Linked DNA regions of Lytechinus pictus. The protein of the gene in region 1 interacts with the protein of each later gene in a pairwise test. Links are inferred from orthologs where the notes say so. Each region holds a gene or a part of one and is shown on either strand. Other genes may lie near its edges.

Evidence for each region.
Region 2: the proteins of kinesin heavy chain (region 1) and kinesin light chain interact in binary tests that used the Drosophila melanogaster proteins (3 or more experiments, as listed by UniProt). The link is inferred for Lytechinus pictus from reciprocal best matches to the Drosophila melanogaster genes Khc and Klc.

The regions. Positions count from the first base shown.
Region 1 is NC_087257.1:3,763,219-3,775,186, reverse strand, and holds the start of kinesin heavy chain, read left to right. Parts: upstream 1-6,973; 5' UTR 6,974-7,037; coding exon 7,038-7,043; intron 7,044-7,943; coding exon 7,944-8,048; intron 8,049-11,968. UniProt on the Drosophila melanogaster protein: Kinesin is a microtubule-associated force-producing protein that may play a role in organelle transport. Milt and Miro form an essential protein complex that links Khc to mitochondria for light chain-independent, anterograde transport of mitochondria.
Region 2 is NC_087251.1:23,867,351-23,878,649, reverse strand, and holds the start of kinesin light chain, read left to right. Parts: upstream 1-5,490; 5' UTR 5,491-5,492; coding exon 5,493-5,717; intron 5,718-9,564; coding exon 9,565-9,634; intron 9,635-11,238; coding exon 11,239-11,299. UniProt on the Drosophila melanogaster protein: Kinesin is a microtubule-associated force-producing protein that may play a role in organelle transport. The light chain may function in coupling of cargo to the heavy chain or in the modulation of its ATPase activity.

The DNA.
Region 1 (11,968 bases):
CCTAGCAGAATCTTCGTCGGAGGCAAAATGACAAACATATAAAGTGGAACAACCATAATATAGAAAACAGACTTTCATTTTAAATACATTTTCATTTCATTTTATTTCAGAATATTTTTTTGTGTTAATTTTTTTCCGGATTTCATTTTATATTCTTTTATTTATCCATTCTTTAAAAATTTAATTTGATTTTCATTTTTTGTGTGTGTTTTTGCTGCTATTATTTTGTTCAATTATTATTATTATTATTATTTGTGGGGGGGCATGGGCTTTCATAATTTCAACTTGAAATCGTACAATAAAACTTAAAATTTACGGTTAGACAGTGTCAGGTTTAATGTTTTCCTTTTCGAGGCCAACTCAACCACCATGGTTTTTCTTTATTATACAAGTTTTTCCTCCTATTAAACAAGAATGCATTTAAATTTCTTGTTTCATGTACTTTCTCGAAAAATATTGTGTGAAAACACTTAAAATGTCTTTCCCCCGTACCCTTTCAACACTCCTAAAATGCTGCAATCTTTTTTCATCAATGTACATGTACGTGGCTGGGGGGGAGAAATACACAAGGTTTGGGGGCGATTGATTCACCCCGAAACACTCCCCAATCCTTGATCATTATTCCTCAATTACAACTCCTTATAAACTATCATAAACTAAAGTTTGGTTTTGATATTTAGCTAAATTAAATAGTGCTTTATAAAAAGAAGTCTACTCAGGATTATTATCTTGAATAATGTATTGAGTTGTCATAGCAAAACTTCGCAATCATTGTCAGTAATGGTGAATTATAAATTAATAAGATGGTTTGTGCTTGACACGGTAATGAGTCATAGTGAGAAACAATATTGTCTTAAAGGGATGGTCCAGGCTGGAGATATTTATATGAATAGAGTAATATTCACAGAGCAAAATGCTGAAATTTTTTATCCAAATCGGATAACAAATAACGAAGTTATTGAATTTTAAAGATTTGCATTATTCTGGTGAAACAGTTCTAGGCATGTCTTCATGAATATTCATTAGGTGGGCTGATGATGTCATATCTCCACTTGTTCTTTTGTACATTTTATTATATGAAATTAGGTTTTTATCAAAAATTTTCTACCAGGAGCTAAAGCAATTTGATTGACAACTGATTAAGTGCTTTAGTTATTTATTGCCGCAACTCATCACGGAGAGACATCAAATACACATGTATGTAAAAATAAAACAATTATGATTTCATGTAAAAACATAAGAAAAAGGAAAGTGGGTATGTGACATCATCAGCCCAACTAATGAATATTCATGACAATGTGCATATATTCCTCTTTTTAAAAATATTGCTTACCTTTAAAATTCAATAACTTCATTATTTGTTATCTGATTTTGATCAAATTTTCAGTATTTTGCTTTGTGAATTTGACTCTATTTATTCAGATATAAATATTTTCAGCCCGGACAATCCCTTTAAGTATTAAACCCACATGAGCAAGGTCTCATTGCTCTGTACATGCAGGCACAGATCAGAGGGGGGCAGGGGTGGCAAAGGGGAGCTCGCTTCCTTTCTGAGGGCCCCCCCTTTTTTTTTTGCTTGATAACTATATCTTTAGCAAGGAAATGCACCCTGTGAGTGGTGATAACCTTTTAACTGTCAGTAATGGTGAATTATAAATTGTTTTTTATCAAGAGAGGCATTGTGTTTTACATGATAATGAGTCATAATGAGAAAGTTTTGAGTTGAGTAACTTTCATGAATAAAATAACAAGTACTAACTGTTAAATCTAACAAACGATGTTCAAACAAAATACTCAAAAGATTTGAATACTACACAACGCCTTTTCTTGGTGAATCTATATCTCACACACAGTGCAATTAACAATTAATCGAATGACGAGAGCTGTACAGGGGAGGGTGGAATCCCTCTTGCTTAGCCAGGCGGAAATCATCGGATATCGATGGATAGCGCCACCTCCACACTAAACTCAACCAACCAACAACAAGGCCCTCTACATAAATACATGTACATTATACAGTACATTGTACTGTATCAAAAATAGCTGAGACTCCTTGCTTGTTCAGAAATGACACACAATATTAAAGACAACAGCCAAAAAAAAAATTGAATAAATGATTGCAATTAAAATGACTTTGTTTCCCAGATTTCCAGTTATGATTATAGTTTTGAAACACTAAACTTCAATCTAGAGTTAGATTTAGTCTACTGTGGCCCGTATTCTGAAGTCAGGTTTTACTTAGACTCGGGTTTAAAGTTGTGGTTTAAGTATGGGAAGCCAAAAGTATCAAAAATTGTTATTAAGTTGTACATTTCTTATGTTAACTGTGCTCTTTCCTGATTCATCGATGGTGAAGACAATAATCTATATATACTTCCTAGACAATTATGAATGATTTGAGAGCCAAATGAGCTGAAATATGATATCTCTACTGTTAGTGATTTATGTAACAATTGGCTGTCCATACTTAAACCACAACTTTAAACCTGAGTTTAAGTTAAACCCGACTTCAGAATACAGGCCTGTAAGTTTAAGGTAATGAAATATGCAACACCATAAAATGTTGGTGTTATCATCTGTGAACACTGGTACTGGTAGCAGGGTAGAATATAATTTTATCTTGTTTTAGGGGCATGTTTTTCTACATTTGGGTCATTGTGGAAGTTTGGGGGCTATGTCTTTCATTTTAAGGGGTAACAAGCAATTATGCAGTAAAAGCAAATAAAAAATTCTGCCATAGTTAGAATATTAATTTTCTATCAATAATATTTAATGTTTGTGACAGATCTTGGGGCGACTCCAGATATAACGGTCACCAGAAAGCATAAATTTTGGGGCAATTTTAGGGGGGAATTGGGCTGTTATGAGGGCGAAATCACCCATCGCCCGCATGTACATGTATTTCCTACGCTGACTGGTAGTGTAGTTTGAACACCATTGTTTTAGTGCTCAGTGTAGTGAGACAGTTGAACTGAAAGTTCATGTACTTGTGGGATGCAAGCACTCTGTCTGATCAGCTACATGTTGATGAGAATGTGTCATCAATCCCCTAGTGTTTTGGTGACATTCAGTGAAAGCAGGAATGTCAACATGTATAAAGCTGCTATCAAATCTAAGAACCAAAGGCAAGGCAGTCTGTGCACATTAAGGCGATAGAGAGATGTTGAAGTATACCCAGATATTTTTTTACCCTAATTCGCAAATAAACTTTAAAATTAGAAATCTAATGAAACAGAAAATTTTACCAGGATAATTTGGCAAATAAATTGTTAAAATGTTTTTATTTACACAATGATGGCTAAAAAGTTGTAACATGAATTACAATTTATTTATAATTTACTATGGTTTTTACATTCAATTGAACTGCATCAGTTACAAAAGTAACTCAGGAATTTCCATAAAAGTGATGTAATTAAAATGAAAATTTCTAAGCTCAACTCGTGATAAAACAATATTTTCTTTCCGTTTAAAATGCTGAATAATTTCTTCAAATATTTGAACAATGAATGAAGACAAACCAAGAACTTCAAGATAATGGATGCCGGCCGGCCATGCTCAGACATTGCATCATCTATGCATTATAGTACCACTATTCCTGTCGCGTGTGGGTTTTTATTGACACAAGAATTTTACCTGTGGGTACTGAAACTGAGCGAAGCAATTTGGAATCGTGTCTGTTTGCCTCTCCTGTGATAAACTCTATGAAGGCAGGAGAGTCAACTCTATTCTGACAGCGACTACGTGATGAGTGCCATGGAAGCTGGTTCATACTGGCATGATAAATTGCTTAATGCAAGAGTTTGACTCTCCTTATGTTTGCCTGTATTCGTTCAGAATCAATTAGAATGTACGTGTACATTTATGATTAACATAATTTATGAGAAACTGAGAAAGTAGTCACGAATGTTAAGGTGTAGACATGGATGTCCCCAAATAAAGTTGAATGTTTTTTTTTTATAACACTGAAAAGTGATAGAAATGTAGTGATGATGATAGTGATGACGGATGATGATGATTATGATGATGATGTTGATGATGATGATAATATTAAATGATGATCATGATTGTATGAATGATGATGATAGTGTTTTTTTGTTGTTTTTTTCCCTATGATAATTATGAATCATGATGATAATGATTGAACGGGATAATCTCATTGTATAAGGTAATCGCTCCTTAGACAAATGGTTGGGCCTACATATGTATTGTAGAGTAATTAATTAATATTATTATGTTAGGCATATTAGATGCCTGCAATAATTAATTGAGACAAGTGTATTCAGAGCAATATCCAACTCCAAGGCCTACAATAAACGTGCACTGTGTGACCCTTCTCCGGACAACCATTATCCAATGTTTGTTGACTGGATACATCTAACCTCTGCATTTGACATCATTCAATGCTTTAATTGATTGGAATGCTTGATCCACCATTCACACAATGAATACAAACACGAACATGACCTATCAACGAACTCTTTGAATCACCCAGGCTTTGGAAAAAGGAAGCCCCAAGCTCATTTCTTTCTTTCCCTCCAGACAATGTAGTGGGTCAAATTACCCCCCTCCCAGGAGAAATGGAATATGCTATGACTGTACAACATGCATTATGAACTTGAAGTGGCATTAGCATGAACGGGGGTGCAGAAAGGGTGGTTGTTTTACTCATAATTTCTTGTTTATCAGTGGAATGTTTCAAGAAGCTTATCATTTTGGCCTGTTGCATAAACATACCATTTAGTAACTTTGCCATGCAATGGTAACTTGCATGGAATCCTTGATTTTGATTTAAGACTGTTGATCATTGTTGCGAATGATAGTTGCCATTGGATAGCAAAGTTACCATAATTGTACTACAGTATTACGCAAGGGGCCCCCGAGTGATTTTCATTGACTTTCTCATCAAATGGAATTTTTATGCATGTTAGCCCCCCCTTCAGAATTGTTTTACTATAACTAGGCCTATACGTAAACTGCACAGAAGGTGAATGAATCTTTACATTTAAATACGAATTTTGATATTGATCTATGATTTGATAAGTATACAGTACATACATTATAAAGAGTCTTAAGAGACATGATTCATTGGCACACACAATGCATCAGGAGACACATCCACCATTTGGGGATGCTACATGTAAATCCATTTTGCTCCTTGGAATGGCAATTCATTCTATTTTACGATACACCTTGCACTTCTAACGGATACTATTCCTGCACTGGGGGAGAAAATGTGACCGAAATATCCCATAATTCCCTCCCCCAGGTGCCGACTTAGAGGGCCATGATATGAACTTGCTTTGACAGACGTAATTGTAACAGATGCATGACTCATATAGGATTGACAAGGAAGACTACCATACTACTGTATCAATACTAAAAAATATTGCCAGCGCTGTTGGTAGCTCAAAACAGAACATCTGTTCTTAGATGTACATATATAGATAAACTGTGATTTGGCATGCAATGTTACTGTAAAAAAGGTTTACCCAATATTTGGTAAAATGGGAACATGTATGTTTGCTGGGTAAAATGATACCAAATACTTTGTAATTTTTACGCAATGTTGCGTAAAATTTACCCTTAAAAATGCATTTTTCCCAATATGGGGGGAAAAAATTACCCAGCAAAAAAGCATGTTCTCTCTCTTTCCAATACTGTGTAAATTTTACTCAATCTTTTTTAGAGTGTAACATTATTTCAAACACGACATATAAGGGCCTATGTATGCATGGGGGGATTTATTTCTCTCCACACACTTTCATCCTATGCTTGAGAAATTGTTTCAAGAGATTGGAAATTGATGAAAAAATTATAGATTAAAATAAAATTAATCAACCTCCTTCAATTTGCATAAGAAGTAAAATTATACCACACGACACAAACATTCAGAAGAAACCTCATTATCAATTTTTCAGCCGAGAATATCCACAGATAAAATGTACTGCCACATAGAGTAATTCCGCTTTTTTTTGTATTGTTATTAAAGTCACAGAGATTTTTAGAAACTCTGTCAACATGTATCTTCCATATCTTCCATAATGAGACATGAAAACAGGTTGAAATAGCACAAAACAATCCAAGTTGCCTACATGTACATGTAGGTACAAATATAATTAATGTTCATGGTGCACATTGAAATAACTGTGTGTTAAAATCATTTCTAAAGAAAAGTAGCAAATACAAGATTCAATAGATGAAACAGTTTACAAGGTAAATAACAAAGTATAAAGATTGTAAAGTGGATGTACATGTATTTTGCACTCGGTCTACATGTACAAGGAAAGATACATGCTAATGATGCATGCAAATCAGTTCAATACACCTGAACTTGAGTTGAGGCTGTGTTTGCCTCGAATCTGATATGCACCTCATTAGAATGTAATCATTGTATTTATAGGATATCAATGATTGAAGATGTAATGTACATTTACACATGTATGTTGTACTTGTAGACATGAAATAAATTTTGAATTGTCGAAGTATTGATTGCATCATCTATCCGACTATTGAATTGAATGTGATATTGATTTTAAAAGTTGAAATTGTTTGTTTAACACAGAAATTGATCAGGGGAGGCTTTCCAGGAGGCAATTTGTTTTTAACACAGTTGAACAAAATGGGCTTAAAAATCTAAGAGTTAATAACAGCATAATTTTGAAAGGTCTTCTCAAAGTTACTGCACGGACATGTATATTAATTAGAAAGAAAGACTTGTTTTTTCTGAATGCCCCCCCCCCCCTCCAAAAAAGAGAAGCTCCTCTGTCAAAAGGGCAGAGCAAGACATGGTCAATAGGCTACCCCACAAAATCTCCCATATGCAGCAGCTGTGGTGGTGAAGATGATGATGATGATGGTGGTGATGATGATGATGATGATGATGATGATGATGATGAGGATGATGCAATGATAATGATGATAATAGTTATAATAGTAATAATATAATTAAAATATTTTTTTGTCTTACAGATGTTCTGGAAGGGTACAATGGAACCATCTTTGCCTATGGGCAGACATCCAGTGGAAAGACTTTCACCATGGAGGTAAATCATTTATATCTCATTATTTATTCAAAACACAAAATGACTGAATCCGACTGAGATATTGGTGTAATATATTTGCACTTTAATAATGCAGTATATAAATATGGATCATCACGATCGAAAAATCTTTGTAAATATTTTATGAGGATGATATTAGCTTTATGATTAGATTATTTCAAGAATTAGGGGAGGTAAGCTGGAGATAGAGGAAAATGAGAAGGAGGAGGTGTTGATGTAAATAAGAAGGAGAAAAACAAAATTAAATGATTGAAAAGGATTGTTGATGTAATAAAGACAGCAATGATGATGATGACAATATAAATAATGATAGTTATGATTATGATGATGATGGTGATGTCAATAATGATGGTGGTGATGATGGTGGTGGTGGTGGTGGTGATGATGAAGATGATGATGATGATGATGATGATGATTGATGATTGATGATGATGATGATGATGATTATGAAGATGATGGAGTTGGTGGTGATGATGATGGTGATGAGATGACGATGATGATGATGGAGTTGATGTTGATGATGATGACAATGATGATGATAGAGTTGGTGGTGATGAAGGTGATGATGATGATGATGAAGATTATGATGATGATGCTGCTGCTGCTGATGATTATGAAGATGATGGAGTTGGTAGTGATGATGGTGATGAGGATGATGATGATGATGATGATGAAGATGATGGAGTTGGTGGTGATGATGGTGATGATGATGATGATGATGGAGTTGAGTGTGATGATGGTGATGATGATGATGATAGAGTTGGTGGTGATGATGGTGGTGATGATGGTGATGATGATGATGATTATGAAGATGATATGTACCAAAATTGTTGCTTGCAAACATCGCCTCTAACAAATCATTCATGTTTTTTGTATTTGCAGGGTGTTATGGGTAATGCTCAGTATATGGGTATCATCCCTCGTATTGTGCAAGATATCTTCAACCATATTTACCAGATGGATGAGAGCCTGGAGTTCCATATAAAGGTATGTAAAAAATGTTCTAGGACAACTTCATTGAGGGCAATGGCTTTGGAGAACAACTCCCTTGGGGATAGGGAGGTATGCTGGGCTCTGGTGCAATGCAGTAATACTAAAGTAGGGCCCTGACTTTTCAAATAATCGCGCTATTTCTGATCCGGTAGCTCGCTGGATTAATCTCGAGCTTGCAATCCTAATTCAACTGAGTATTACTTGCAAAATAGTGTGCTATTTATGAATTATCCGGCTAATTCGCAGGTGCAGACGCACTCGACATTCGACTCGGGATTATTTCACGGTCAGACCACAATGCATCGATGCCTCGCTCAAGAACGGGTTTCTTGGATATCAAGATTAATCGCGAAGAGGGCTTATCGGGCTAAAATCTCGAGATTGAGCAAACTTTGGCTGTTGCAGCACCGCCTATTGTAACTTTGCCTTTATGAGAACTACCATGGAAACCTTGATTTTCATTGGCTGCTGAGCCCTGTTACCATGGCAGCTACGGTAATGGCAAAGTTACATTGATGGTAATTTTTTTTGTGTAGGAATTCCTGACATGAAAACCCCTACTCTAAATTCTAAGGATTTAAATCTCGTTCGGCTGTGAAAAGTGACCAGTCAAATATATATTTTTTTAAATCTGAAGTATTAACTTTTAAATCTCAAAAGATTTAAAGAGAAATTCCAGTAGTTGCAGTAAACACTGATTTCATGAGAAAGTCTGTAAAACCAGGCTTAATTGTCAGTATATCATCGAGGATCTAGATCTGGTACAGTTACATAAACTGAACTTTGTGAAATCTTGAAATCTACGCTGAAAAATGTTCAGACTGAACTTCCCCAACACAGATAAGCGCACGTGGGACTGTGTATAATTATTGCTTTGAGCGTCGGGCCCGACGCTCTACCCGAATCCTGTGCTTATTTGCTGATTTCTCAGCAATTACACAATTTCTTCCAGAATCCTTTGGCACATGCGTTTTATTTATGCAAACAGACACTTTGGTGGTCATTTCATTGGATTCTGTACGAACTCATTTTGGTATCGTTACCAAAACTAGCATTTACCTTTAAATCTAAATCTGTTAGCTTTATATTTAAATGCACAAGGATCAGATCTTAATCTAGTGTTTAGCTGGTCACTATTTACAGCCAATCCAGATTTATTTTAAATCCTTGGAATTTTTAGTGCAATTGGACATGTGCATGTTGTCACCTTAGCCCGATGAATACATTTAATAATGAGGTATAGGAGACACTAGGTGGTTTCAGACCGCCTCGAAGTTCGTCAGTTCCAGGTATTCTCTGATGGGGAAATTTACCCCGATCAGAAAATACCAGGTATTTTGGTAATGTGAAAGCAAACTACGCGTAATTTCCCCGAAAGAAAATACCCGCTAAATAGTAGGTACTTGGCGAAATTACGAGAACTTTCGCGGGGATTTTTCCAAGGTCGCAGGTATTTTGGCAATGTGAAAGCAATTTACGGGAACTTTTAGCCCAGCGTGTCGTTGGGCGCGGGCGCCGTGGGTGGCTGCTGGGCTAGTGGTTTTGAATCTCGCGCCTTGCCTGCTTATTAGACCATACTGCGCATGCTCCTAACTTCAGGAATTTATCCCGAAGGGTATGTTTCAGGAATAATTAATAGGTATTTTTTAGCCTAATAATGTTCTCGTAATTTAACGGGGATTCTTGTGATCAAGGCGGGATATTGAACTAGACCTTTTCAGTGAAGATTATTTGATATAATTCAGAGTGCTACATAACTTTTTAGAAGCACTTGCCCAGTTAGGCAAGTAAATTTTTTAATACTTGCCCAAAAATCTATTTCACTTGCCAGAAAAAATCATTGAAAAAAAAGTGTTACCCCTCCAAAAGAAAGTTTTGCGGTTTTATAAACCATTGACCTTTTTCTCTCTTTTGGCATGAACTGATCTACCTTATTATTGCATTTCTTTGTCCAAAGTGATTTTATCTTGCCTGCCATGACAGAAATTAGGGTCAATATATCATATCGACCCTAATTTTGGCCATTTTCTGTGAGAATTTTGCTTGCCCAATTCGGGCAAGTAGTTTTGGTCTTTACTACAAAACTTTTGCCTCTTAACTCTAACTTTTACTTGCCCCGGGCAATCAGGCAAGTGCTTATGTAGCACCCTGTAATTATAATTGGTATGAAGTTTGAATTTGATCGATATCATTGTGATGTCTGCAGGGCAGGGAATAATTTTTATTTTTTAGGGGCTATTTTTCTTTTCTACATTGAGGCCAGTGCAAAATATATATTTTTTTTTTTGGGGGGGGCTCTTTCATTTGAAAGGCTACTTTTTAGGGGTAAAAAGATAATTGTGCAGTAAAAGCAAATATTACTCTTCTGCCACAGTTAGATAATTGAATTTTGTGAATCTTGAATATTGTTTGGAACAGATCTTGGGGTAACTCTAAAAAGAATGGTTGCCCCAGAGCATGCATTTTGGGGGAATTTTAGGGGCAATTTGGGCTATCAGGTTGAAATCGCCCGTCGTCCATATGTATTTCCTTTGCTGGATGACTGACAAATATATAACCTGTAGATTGTAGGAAGAGTTGTTAATGGTCAATAATTCAATATCTGGTTCATCAAACCCTAAGCTTCCTGAAAATCCACCCCCTAATACTTCTTAATGAATCAGATCCTGCCCCCAAATTATTGTCGAGACAGGTGTCGCGGTTACATTCCATTCCCCTTGTTTCTCTGTTGATTTCGTGAAACTACTGCATATCATCTGAACTTCAACTTCATGTCGGATGTCTATTACCCGGGGAGGGGGGGGGGGCAGTCAAATGTATTGCTGTACACACGCGTGGCCAAATTATTTCCAAACACCCCCTGAATGAGTTTTTCTCTGTGTGCAAAATAACCCCCTAAACAAGTTTTTCGCGGGCTTTATTTACACATTTTGGCCCCTAAACACGTTTTTCTAGTCTTAAAAAAAAAAGCTTCAGAAAAAAAACATACCCTAAATACGTTTGACCCTGCGGTTGACCATTGACTAGCCTTTCAAAACGATCCCCTTTTTTTGAAAATCAATGTTTTTGATACCCTTAACGAGTGCACGCGCGACCCGTGTCCAAAACTGAAAAAAACACCCCTTTAAACGCGTTTTTGGGGTCACGCGTGTGTACAGCAATATATTTGACTGCCCCCCCCCCCTCCCCCCCGGGTTTATTACCCATACTGCCCCTTCACTCTGGAATATCATCCGCATTATGAAAGAACTCTCCTGCTTCAAAGTTAAATCCACCGTAAAAGCTACTTGTTCAAAAAGTATTTTAACGAGTTCTTTCTTTCCTAAAAAATAGTGATGCATTTGATCTGGCAATAGAATGCCAAGTCCTCCCCAAGAAAAATTTAATGAAGATAAATTGAGAGATGTCAATCAAACTTAACACTGAATTGCTGCCAATTACTTCAAAAATTGAACATAATAAGAAATGTCTTATAGATGCAAGGCAAGGATGTCGCTTTTCAGACTAATGTCTGAATTCAGTTATTTTCAGCATATTTGCTGCCTTTATACATGTAGAAAACATCTTTTTCATGTGGGAAAGGGGTCATTGTAGATGATTTTCAGAGTTTTTAATCGATTCTGTGGCATTGTTGTATTTTACATCTGATTTGTATGAAAATTATTACCCTATAATTGTTAGGTACATGTATGTCTCTTTATTTAAATTCACTTTACCAGTATTCAAAGAACATTGGAAGTGGACTTGGCCTCTAATATGTATCCAAAAGTGCCACTTTCCCTTCAAGAACTTTTTCCTGTCCATCCTAAAATAAAATCCTATTGGGAGTTTATTGGCTTTTGTGATGTTCTCTCTTTTTTCCTTGAGACACCACTGCATGTTTGCCCAGGTTGTTTCTTTGAAAAATGTTCATA
Region 2 (11,299 bases), on another chromosome or scaffold:
TGCTCACTTTGATAAAGTTCTGTTCTAAGCTATCATTTCATGTTTGAAATATAAAGTGCAGTGTTGGAATCAAATACAGAATCATAAAAAATAGTTGTTTATTCATGTATATCTAATTAATTTATCCAAAGCTGTTGTATAATTTTTAATTTCAAGCTCATAATGTATACATGTAAGGTCAATAAATTGCTTATGGTGTGTCGTTGTTTTACAAATAACTTTATTTGTGAATTTTCAGAGAGATATGTGTTTTCATTCATAAGCTATGAATATGTCTATGCACATTTTGTGTGTTATTCTTTGAGAACCTCTTTTATACCGAGGCCCCTGCCCCTGGGGACTGAGAAACATGGATTATATATACCCACAAGCCCTCTTTCACATTTGCAAGTAAATGAGAAAAATGTCTTGCTCCCTACATCCGAACATTATTGTTGTTTCGCTCAATTAACTTTACAATGATTGATTTTGCTCTACTCTTCTTTGGCTTCAAGCATGTAGGCCTAAAGCCTATTGATGAAAGTTTTAAAATATATAACTCTCTTGTTTTTAATCAAAATTTGTTGAAAAAAATCATAGTCCTGTACCTCAATATTTTGCTTTCTGAATTAAAAACAGAATATTTATTCCAGGATGAGTTTTACCTGGAAGTCTCAGTTTACTCATTTATTCATTAATTACTATTATTATTATTATTATTATTTTTTTTTTTGGGGGGGGGGTTCAAGATGGTTGAAAGTTTGGACTTAATATTTTATAATGAAATTGAAATGAATTATTGAGTCAGCATATAAGATTTACAGGGATTCAGAAATAAAAGCTTGACTTGAAGTCCTTAAAAATGTTTCAAGTTGATATTTATTATTGTATTTTCTATTATTTGATATAATTTTGAATTCTCTGTCACAGAATATAAACAGAATTCAGGTTCTTTCTATCAACTGTGTGGGAAGGTTGATTGGTTGGTAGATCTATAGACAGCTCATTCATTTAATGTGACAACCTTGAGCAATACCCCTCAGTCCTTGTTAGCTTTCCAGGTAATGAGATACCAAACCAAGTTCATTCTAACCCCATGTTCAGGTGCACAAAACATCTCTAGAGTGATATCCAATGACCATGGTAATGTAGGCATATCCATATAAAGCACTTAAAAACGTTCTGATGTTAAGCGCTATTTAAAAGCAAATGGTACATACATGGTAGCTTCATAATGGATTCCTGTGTTTGCACATGGATGGTTTGACTGTGAACACAGACTTACGATAAACTTGTCAGAGAATAGTTTTGCATGGTTGTTTGAACACATGATTATAGAACATTAATTCATCTTGATAAGGTCCAACAGCCAACAGTTACAACATGTGCATTGGAAAACTTCTCATCTGACATTGATCTAAGCGGTTGATATGTGTCTGAACGGTTCCTAAACTATGCTAAAGTCTTGTATGACGTTTCGTTGCCAAGTTCCAATGTAAATGTATTGATGTCTGAACAGGCTTCATTTAGAACCTCCTTGTGCAGCATGTTCATCACTCATTCATAGAGAACCTGTTGGCAAGGAGACAGGCGGTTGGTTTCAGGATAAGTTACCCTGACTAAAAACCCCCGAAACTGTCAACCATAGCTCACTGAAAAACCAGACACATTCATTACACTAAAAGCTTTCAATATGGCGCAGCTCACATGGATGTGTACATTCATGCCTCAGTCAGACTAGTGGAACCTGCTCCAGAATGAATGGCCCTTGTATGTTAAAGGACAAGTCCACCCCCAAAAAAAGTTGATTTGAATAAAGAGGGGGAAATCCAACAAGCATAACACTGAACATATGATCAAATGTAAAATAAAGATATGACTTTTTAAAGTGTAGCTTAATTTCACAAAACAGTTATATGCACATCCTACATGTAGTCGGTATGCAAATGAGGAGACTGATGACGTCATCCACTCACTATTTCTTTTGTATTTTATTAAATGAAATACAAAATATTCTAATTTTCTGCTCGTTGGCAAGTGAAACAATGATCCCCAATGAACATGTGGAACTAGCATTGTTTAATACTATATGGTTCAGTCAAGTTTTGTCAATTTTGTAAAGAATGAAATATTGTATAATTCAAACAATCAAAACAAGAAATAGTGAGGGAGGGACATCATCGACTGTCTCATTTGCATGTCACTGAGTTGTGAAAAATAAGCGAAACTTTAAGATGTCATAACTCTCTTATTTTACATCCGATTCTGCTGAAATTTTCATTGTTATTCTTGTTTGATTTTTCTCAATTGATTCAAATCAATATTTTTCTGGGATGGACTTGACCTTTAAGTTTGAATAATGTAGTATCTGTCAGTATGAAGTTGGTTTAATCATTGATGTGACTGTTGCATTGAACTGTGCTTTGGGGAATGGATATCTCCCCTCTCTCTATTTGATTGATTCTTGAATTGGCCACTATTTTGAGAACTGTGCTACTTCTTTTTACCTTTAAATATGACATTTAGTTACAGTTCATGAGAATAAATTGTATACAAAACTGTAAATGAAATAATGTATCTTTGAAAATTTTATATTTGCTGTAAATTTGTTAATTATCGAAAATTAAAATGAATTTAAAAGCAATATTTGCAGAGAGTCATGTGTGCTCTGAGACAAGAGACATTACTGGAAGACTTCAGCTATCAAGATCGCTCAGTCTCCTTTGCAGTGGACATGCATCTTTAACCTATGAAATTCATCCCAAATTTACAAGTTGAAGTATTTTGAAGCTCCAACAACCTGAAATTTTCTTTAAATAACTCAGGACTGCCCCTTTCATCAATGTCACAACAAGTACACCACCATTTATTATTTTTCCTTTTCATCTTTCCTAATTTTCTGCTATCTCCTCCGTCACTCAGTCTGTTCTCTTAAATCCTTTAGCAATATTCACTCTTGTATTGAGTAAACTGTAATTGGGAATAAGACACCGTTCTCATTACACTTTGTAAAACTTTTTCAAGAAACCAGTTTGGAAGATCGCTTTGCTAGCATTCCCACTTGATCGCACGAAAGTGATTTTCAAAATCACTTCACGTAAAAGCAATCTTGTTGCTATGGAAAAGCTCAGTGGGGTGACACGTTTCGTGCAAAATTCGAAATTGCAGCATAGGCATTCTACACCTGTCATGTGGAGTAGCACGCTCAAAATGTGCGAAGATCGCTTCCCGAAGAACGGTTGTGTCCTCACTTACGCTAAAACCAGTTTAATGAGGCAAAGCGATCTTGAAAACTACATCGCGAGGTGGTTTTCTGAACCGGTTTGGAAGATCGCTTGCAAGATTGCTTCGACCGTTCTCACTTCACGTTAAACTAGTTTCCAGTAAAATAGTTTTAGGAAGGTAGTGAGAACAGTGTCTAAATGTCACCACATCTCTTTTGCCATGAGACTGTTTCTAAGCTGGATGCTGGCTGGCTTGGTGTGAATATCTAATATAAGCAAATATCTGAAGATGGTTAGTATGCAGCATGGGAATGATACCTGTGAATGTCATACGAGTATAAGCTCATCATTAATGAGCTTTAAAATAGCCTCATGCCCTTAGGGAAATCGAAGAAAGGGCTTTGTATATATAGTAATTGCTTTAGAAGGAATTCATATTGTCTGGTTTTGTTGAAGTCCCATTTATATACATGTATGCACTGCATTGTATCAGAGAAGATGATCTGATGATCTCCCAGACATGATTTGATGCATAATTCATGGATTGAATGCAACCATGACACGATATATGCATAATTCATGGATTGAATGCATTTTTTGATATATGCTGAAATACTTGATTTGACTGCATCCACATGTCTTTAATTATATTCATTAATAGACATTTAACTGATATAATTTAATGTAAAATAAGTTTGATTTACATGTATGTGACGTTAACAGGATCTGTGGTCTACATGTACCTGTATGCCTGTTGAAATGTTGTCCATGTACCTAAACTTTGGATGAGAGTTAGCAAATATTAATCTAATCAAATTGTATATATAAGTATATGGTTAAAAGAATATATTAATTCAAGAATCAAAATTAAAGTCTGTTAAAATTGAAGAGGTAATCAGGCTGATCGAATGATTACCAATTACACTCCAGGGTGTGCCAGGTTGCCCCAAAGATGTACCCTTTACCTCCTTGGCATTACTATAGGAAAAACCTCTACAATCTCTCTCTCCTTGGGATCTAGTTTTTCTTTTCCGTGAATGAGGTTAATTATTCACATCATTATCATGATGGTCTTAGTGCTTCTCTATCATACTTCCAATGGTCTCTTGCCCGAAGGGTTTTCTGTATCTTGAGGCGCTGCAATCATGTACAAGACAAACTCTGCAGTAACCCTTGCTATTGGAGAGGATAAACAGCATGCTCCTGGAGTTTGCCTTTCTATTATTCCCTGTTTGCATTTATGAAGAAACGGAAGAGAAGTGGGATGGAGAATGGAGAGAAACTGCGTAATATGTGCGATTCAGACAAGTGTTTAAGATTGAAGAAGGAAGGGAGTAATGGAGATATGCAGAGAGGGAGTGGGTTGAGATAGTTGGGGGATGGGGGGGGGGGGGAGTGGAGAGGGTGGGAGAGACATGTGGGAGAGGAAAAGCCAGAAGGACTGAAAAAGATGGAGCATGGAAAGGAGCATATTGTACATCAGTAAAATATTCATGTACATTTGTCGGCCGACCTTTGCATGTACGTGCAGACCAACTGCATAAAATTTGCGATTCGGATAAGTTTTTAAAGATATTGAAGAAGGATAGAAGAAATAGAGATATACAAAGAGATATACACGAAAGAATGATATTTTTAATGTATCTTCAATTTATTCTCTCCCATTGAATATCTCATATGCACATTGATACCATACACAGACCTGCCAACCAGTACGTTTTAGCCGTATTTATTACGTTGTTGTTTTTTTTTTTTTTTTACTAAATCGTAATTTATTGAGAAAAATAATCTCCATATGTCTCTATTTCATAAAACGTACACAAATATGGTTATTAGATCAATGTAATTTCAGGTAACTTTGTTTTTTTTTCAATCATTTTGTTAAAACCAGGGTGAAGATATACACATGTTTTAATGTTTTTTTTTTCATCTGCAAGAGCAGTGCGCATTTTAGCATGCATGCAGCTTGAGCGCCGCGATGAGCGAGTGCGCCAAGCATTTTATTATGAAATACACATTTTTTGGGAAAAATACAGTTTTTTTAATCACAGAATACAGTTTTTCATTCCCAGAGGTTGGCAGGTCTGCATATTTATCTCACACGGTAAAAATACTGATTTTTTGTCAAAATACTGATTTTGGGGGATAAGAATACTGAAAATGCAAAATAAAACTTGGCAGCTCTGCATACATGGGATTCCAAACTGTCATTTCCTCTGTGCATGTGTTTCCTTCAGTCATGCCTGTTTCCTTCACATTGTTTTTCTGCTTTCCTTTATACAGGTTATGATGGCATTAGGTCACCATCTCAACATGGTGGAGGCCGAGAAACAGAAGTTACGAGCTCAGGTTCGGAGGTTAGTCCAGGAGAATACGTGGTTGAGAGATGAGCTTGCTGCCACGCAACAGAAACTACAGACCAGCGAACAGAACCTGGCTGACCTGGAGGTCAAATACAAACACCTAGAGTACATGAACTCCATCAAGAAGTTTGACGAGGATCGAACACCAGATGTAAGTTTTGTTTTGTCTGCAATCGTTTGCATGATGGTACTCGGGGCAAGATATAATTGAAATAAACAGAATTTGGTTTTCATTACAATATTCAATGCTCTTCATACTTACATGTACATGCCTTTGACATACATGTGGAAATTTAGCATTGGATATTTTTTTACCTGAAAATAAAAAGTATGATGCATTCTAAATACAAAATAGCTAGAAAGATGAAAATTTTAATGCATTACATTTACCATACTAGTTTTAAGGAACAACACATGATCATTTTTTGTTTTTCAGAAAAACAAATATTGTTCTTAGTTTTAAAAATTAGTTATAGCACAATAACTAATTTTAAAAACTAAGAACAATATTATGACATATTAACACAGATTATATACATTCTTTGTGAAGATGATAATCTAAGGAGGGTACCATAGTAAAAGTTAGTTGTAATCTTGATAAAAAATTGTTTCTAAAGATACAAGATTGGTATTAAAAAAGTTCAAATGTGTTTTTAAGTCTCAGGAGTGAGCACTGAATAATTTGAACTTAGTGGTAATGTTACATTAAGTCAAAGCTTGATTGCTGTTCCAAACTGTGGTTCTTTGTGAAAGCTGAAAACTTAAGTCAATATGAATATTCCCTGATTCAATGATAGTATTGCAAATCAGTCTGAACAATTCTCAGGGTTTCTATTTGCCCAAGAGCTTAACATTGTGAGAAAACAAAAAACCTCAGACTTGTATTACAAAAGTACTATTCACAATAACCTGTATCTGTAAGTGTTTGTATTTGTGACTGTGATGTCATATTCAAATATTTTCTTCAAACCCTGAAATAATCTTTACATGGTTGTATTTTTTCAAATTCAAATTCAATTTGAAAAATTACACACCTGAATTCATGTATAATTACATTCAATAATAGAAATGAAAATTATTTTATAAAAAATACTATGAGAGAATATAGTTGTAGACCATAAGAATATGTGAGTATGTGCGGAAATGGGGGGGGGGGGGGTTCACCCCAAAGCATAGCTTGTATTATGTGACCCCCCCAACTAAAAAAGACAACATTGCTGGTATTTGCCTACAAAAAATTACTAATATCAATGAACAAGAACAAATAAAACGGAACAAAGACAAAATTAAACACAAAACAAAACGAAAACAAAAAACAGGACACAAGAAAACTGCTGGATAAATGAAATCTTTGAAGAAGGTGGCGAAACAGCCAAGTCATGGCCGAAAAAAGACTTAAGCATTAAGCACCAAACAGAGTGAAAAAATAGAATGGGCAGAATTACATGTAGTTTTGAAGACCTCTGTAAGTCTAAGTAAAAATTGTCAGTTTTCAGAATGTATGAGAGGGCTGTTTTTATTGTTTACCATTAAAGAGAGTTACAAAACCTAGAACTATCATATATAAATTGTACTCTTTGCTGAAATATGGTAAGTGCAATTAATTGTCTCATTGGGTAGTCTTCATATGGCTGATGAAAGGGAAACATTTCAAATCCATGTCCTAAATAAAATAAGTACAGGTTGCTTTCAATTTGTGTAGAAATCCAAGTGTAACAATTATTTTTTTAATTATTATTTTATTTGATGATGCTCACATTTGATTTGTGTAGTGTTATTACATGTTTATTTAATAATAGGATAGGGTTTAAAGTGAGGCAAAAAACAGTCGTAAAATTTGTCAACAACAATCCTGAATTTCTCAATTTAGATTCTCATGTTAACAAATACATAAGGTTGTAGTAATCATGCAGGGTATATTAAAACTTCTACATCAAGAATGTGTCGACAGCAGAGGCTCTCAAATTTCAATGTACATGTAGAAAAAAATGATGAATTTATATGCAGAGCATGTTGCTATCTCCATTATAACATGTCAGGGATAAAGCAAATGGTATGAAATTGAAATTCTGGGAAATAATTGGATTCTCTATTCATGTAATTATTGCAAGGATCAGTATCAGCCTTGCATGAGAAATTGGAATAATGCATAATATGGATTTGGATTAAGCTGGAGGGAGAGGGGAATATGGGATTTAAATGTCAACCAATGGATGCTTCAAGAAAAAAAAGTATGTGGAAATGTCATGGACCAATACCATTCAGGACATGAAAGATTGCGAAATGACATTGGAGGAAGTTTATCCTTTAGACTATTGTTGCGACATTGATGGGGAAAGTGAAGTGAACACGACAGCAGTGATTCACTTAACCCATACAAATGCCATTAGCTCCGCCCCCCCCCCCATTTCTTTTTCCTGGCAAAAGACACAAAAAATAAGGGAAAATTATTTTCAAGTACTGACAGTGTATGTGGATTTATGGAGAAGAAAATTACTCTGTTTTCTTGCTTACCTCATTTATCATAATTTACAAGGTTCTGTGTTTTGCCTTGGTCTGGATTGTAGCTTCGATGTTGGGTGTGCTGTGTTGCAAGCCTGATATCATTATGAATTCATCAGAGAATTCTGATTGTGTTCAAGGCTTTGGAGTAAATTGAATCTGGACAGAGATCTCTCTGATTAATTATGCTATCATACCCAATGACATGTTTTGTAACATACAACATATTTTATTCCTACCATTTTGTTTTCCTTTATATTTTTTTTTGAATAAATAAAAAAATTTAGATTTATGCTCATAAAATGTAATGTTTTCAATTGGTGATTATCACTATTAATGATTTAATTTTCATGAATTCAGAATATTATCTTCAATTTAATTTAATGAATCTTGTAAAAGCCAACTTGTAAGAAATTACAATTTTAAGTCTTTGATTAAGAAGTAAATTAGAATGGAGGAAGTACTGAACCTTGAAACCTTTCTCTGTAAGCATTCTGTCTCTAGGATAATATCCCAATTTTCCGGTCGATCACGTACAAACGTTGATCTTATGCGAGATATTTATCCTGCCCTCCAAGTTCTGACGAAATCTATGTTTGCATGGGTTTGGCATTACACTTGTACACACGTTTACACTTTCACTTACTTCATTCTCATGGTACCCTCAATTACTCCAGCTATCTTACTGCATGATATACTGGACATATAAGATTAGTATCCACTTTACTTGAGATGATAATATCTATTCTTTATTGACAATGTAACGGCAATGGAAAGGTGAAACAAATGCAGCAAAAAAAACGATGACTAGTATTTTATGAATAAAAGTGACTCTAATGGCTCCATACATCGCTCCATACAATTCATCTGATTAAGTACATTTCCCCATGATCCCGTCATACATAACATTGGCAATTGACTGATCATAGAATTTACATACTTACTAAATGGATTCTTCTGAATGCAGTCCAAAGACTCTGTATTCAGCTACCAAAATTCATTTCAAAGGTTCCATGCCATTTGATCCTGGTACATATGAAAAAAAAATTGCACATTACATCAAACATAGAATGTGACATAAAATATAATCCTTAATCATATTGATTATCTATTTTTTCTGAGCCAGAGCATATTACAGCCCTATCACTACAGTGTTCATCTTCAGACTCAAGGGTCATTGAGGCACAATAAATGGTCACTGCATAGAGCATGTTCTACCATCATATTGAAATATATTCTTCTTAGGTAATTAAATGAATTGATAAGTCTTGAAAAGGACATGCTACTGAATAAATCTAAGGGAATTTTCAAGAAATGAAACTATCACCACGAGGACATACTTGAATAATATCCATTGTATCAGGTATTTAATGCATATTCTCATTCCCATGTGCTTGTAAATGTTACCAGATAGCTTGTGAATTATTTGTGTATGTTTATCTACATTATTGGTGTCTAGAATTATCATCATATTCTATGTTGTATAATTGATGCAGGCGGAGGACACATCGTCAGATCCCTTAGATCTAGGTTTCCCAGAAGATGATGATGGGTCTCAAGCAGATGGTAAGATCTTAATGCAATACTAACTGACTGTCTCATGTAGGATTGTCTCTTTGAGTTGCCTTCCCCACATGCTCTTTCTCTATCTCTGTCTCTTACCCTCTTTCCTTATTGATGTTGATGTTAGTTTAGAGTTAGTGTCCCTAGTTCTTGGTTTCCTAGAACATGAAGGTCGTGCAAACGCATTCCACTGTCATTATTGTGGGAGTGCCTCTGAATGTAGTCTTGGAGATGATTAGCGCTCCATATGATATTCCTTGTGGTGACCTCTCTACCGTCACTAGTTTGTTCCTGCCTGTACAAAAGACAACCGCCTCAATCATAAGAATCCCCGTTAAATTACGAGGACTTTTTTAGACTAATAAATATCCATTATTCCTGCATTCACACCACCCTGAAACATACCCTTCGGGATAAGTTCCTGAAGTTACGAGCATGCGCAGTATAGTCTGATAAGCAAGTGAGGCATGAGATTCAAAATCACTAGCTCATCAGCCACCCAAGGCGCCCGCGCCCATCTACACTGGGCTTAAAGTTCCCGTAAATTGCTTTTGCATTGCCAAAATACTTGTGACCTTGGAAAAATCTCAGCGAAAGTTCTCGTAATTTTGACAAGTACATAATATTTAGTGAGTATTTTCTTTCGGGGAGAATACACGTAATTTGCTTTCACATTGCCAATATTACCTGGTATTTTCTGATTGGTGTAAATTTCCTGATCAGAAAATACCTGGAACTTACGAACTTGAGGCGTTCTGAAACCACCTAATGTCCTAAGACCTTGGTTTCCTAGAAAACAATGATCACACAATCATGATCTCTGTAGGGACAGTATCTCTAAGATATTCTAGCACATGGTAGCCTCATACACTGATGATTCTAGCAAACTTCCCACTGCCCATAGAACATGTTACTATCTAAATTCTGAATACCTGCAAGAAGTTTTACAGTATCTGGTTCCCCAATATATCAGCTTGTGAATTATTTCAAATTTATATTTTTGTGACATATGCTGTGACCAAATCAGATGAAATTAGACACACCAATCAAATGATCTTGGTCATGTGAACAGATTACCATGGTAATGAAAACACATCAGGTGTATGAGAAGGAGTACTCATCAATCAACTTGTCATATAGTGTGTGCCATCTTTCAAGAGAAATGGATGTCATCTGGAAAACCATGAATATTGAATGGGCAAGAGGGAGGGCCCACCTTGATTTTGTTGTAATGGCTTCCATAAAGAAAGCAGTTCATGGATGTATTACTTGTGTTTTCTCATTGAAATCTGTGAAGTCTGTTTAGGTTTATACATTTTAATTATTGGTGGAAATACTTCTGGACTTTGTTTATGAAATGCAATCAGGATTGTAGCTTAAAGTATCATTTCTTAATAGTAATTTATGCAGATGAACAGTGTTAACTATGGTAGATCTTGTGATAAGATTTGTAATCAAAAGATAAACTGAAAAACCATAACTTATTTATTCATAAGGTATCTTGAACACATACCTATGGATAACATATTGCTTATATCAGATGCTTATTTCATGCATAGTTGCCTCATTTTAATTCTACATTCGTATTATACCTCCTCTATTTATAGAGAGTTACCCCCAGCCACAATCAGGCAGTGGTTCAGTATCAGCAGCAGCAGGGGGATATGA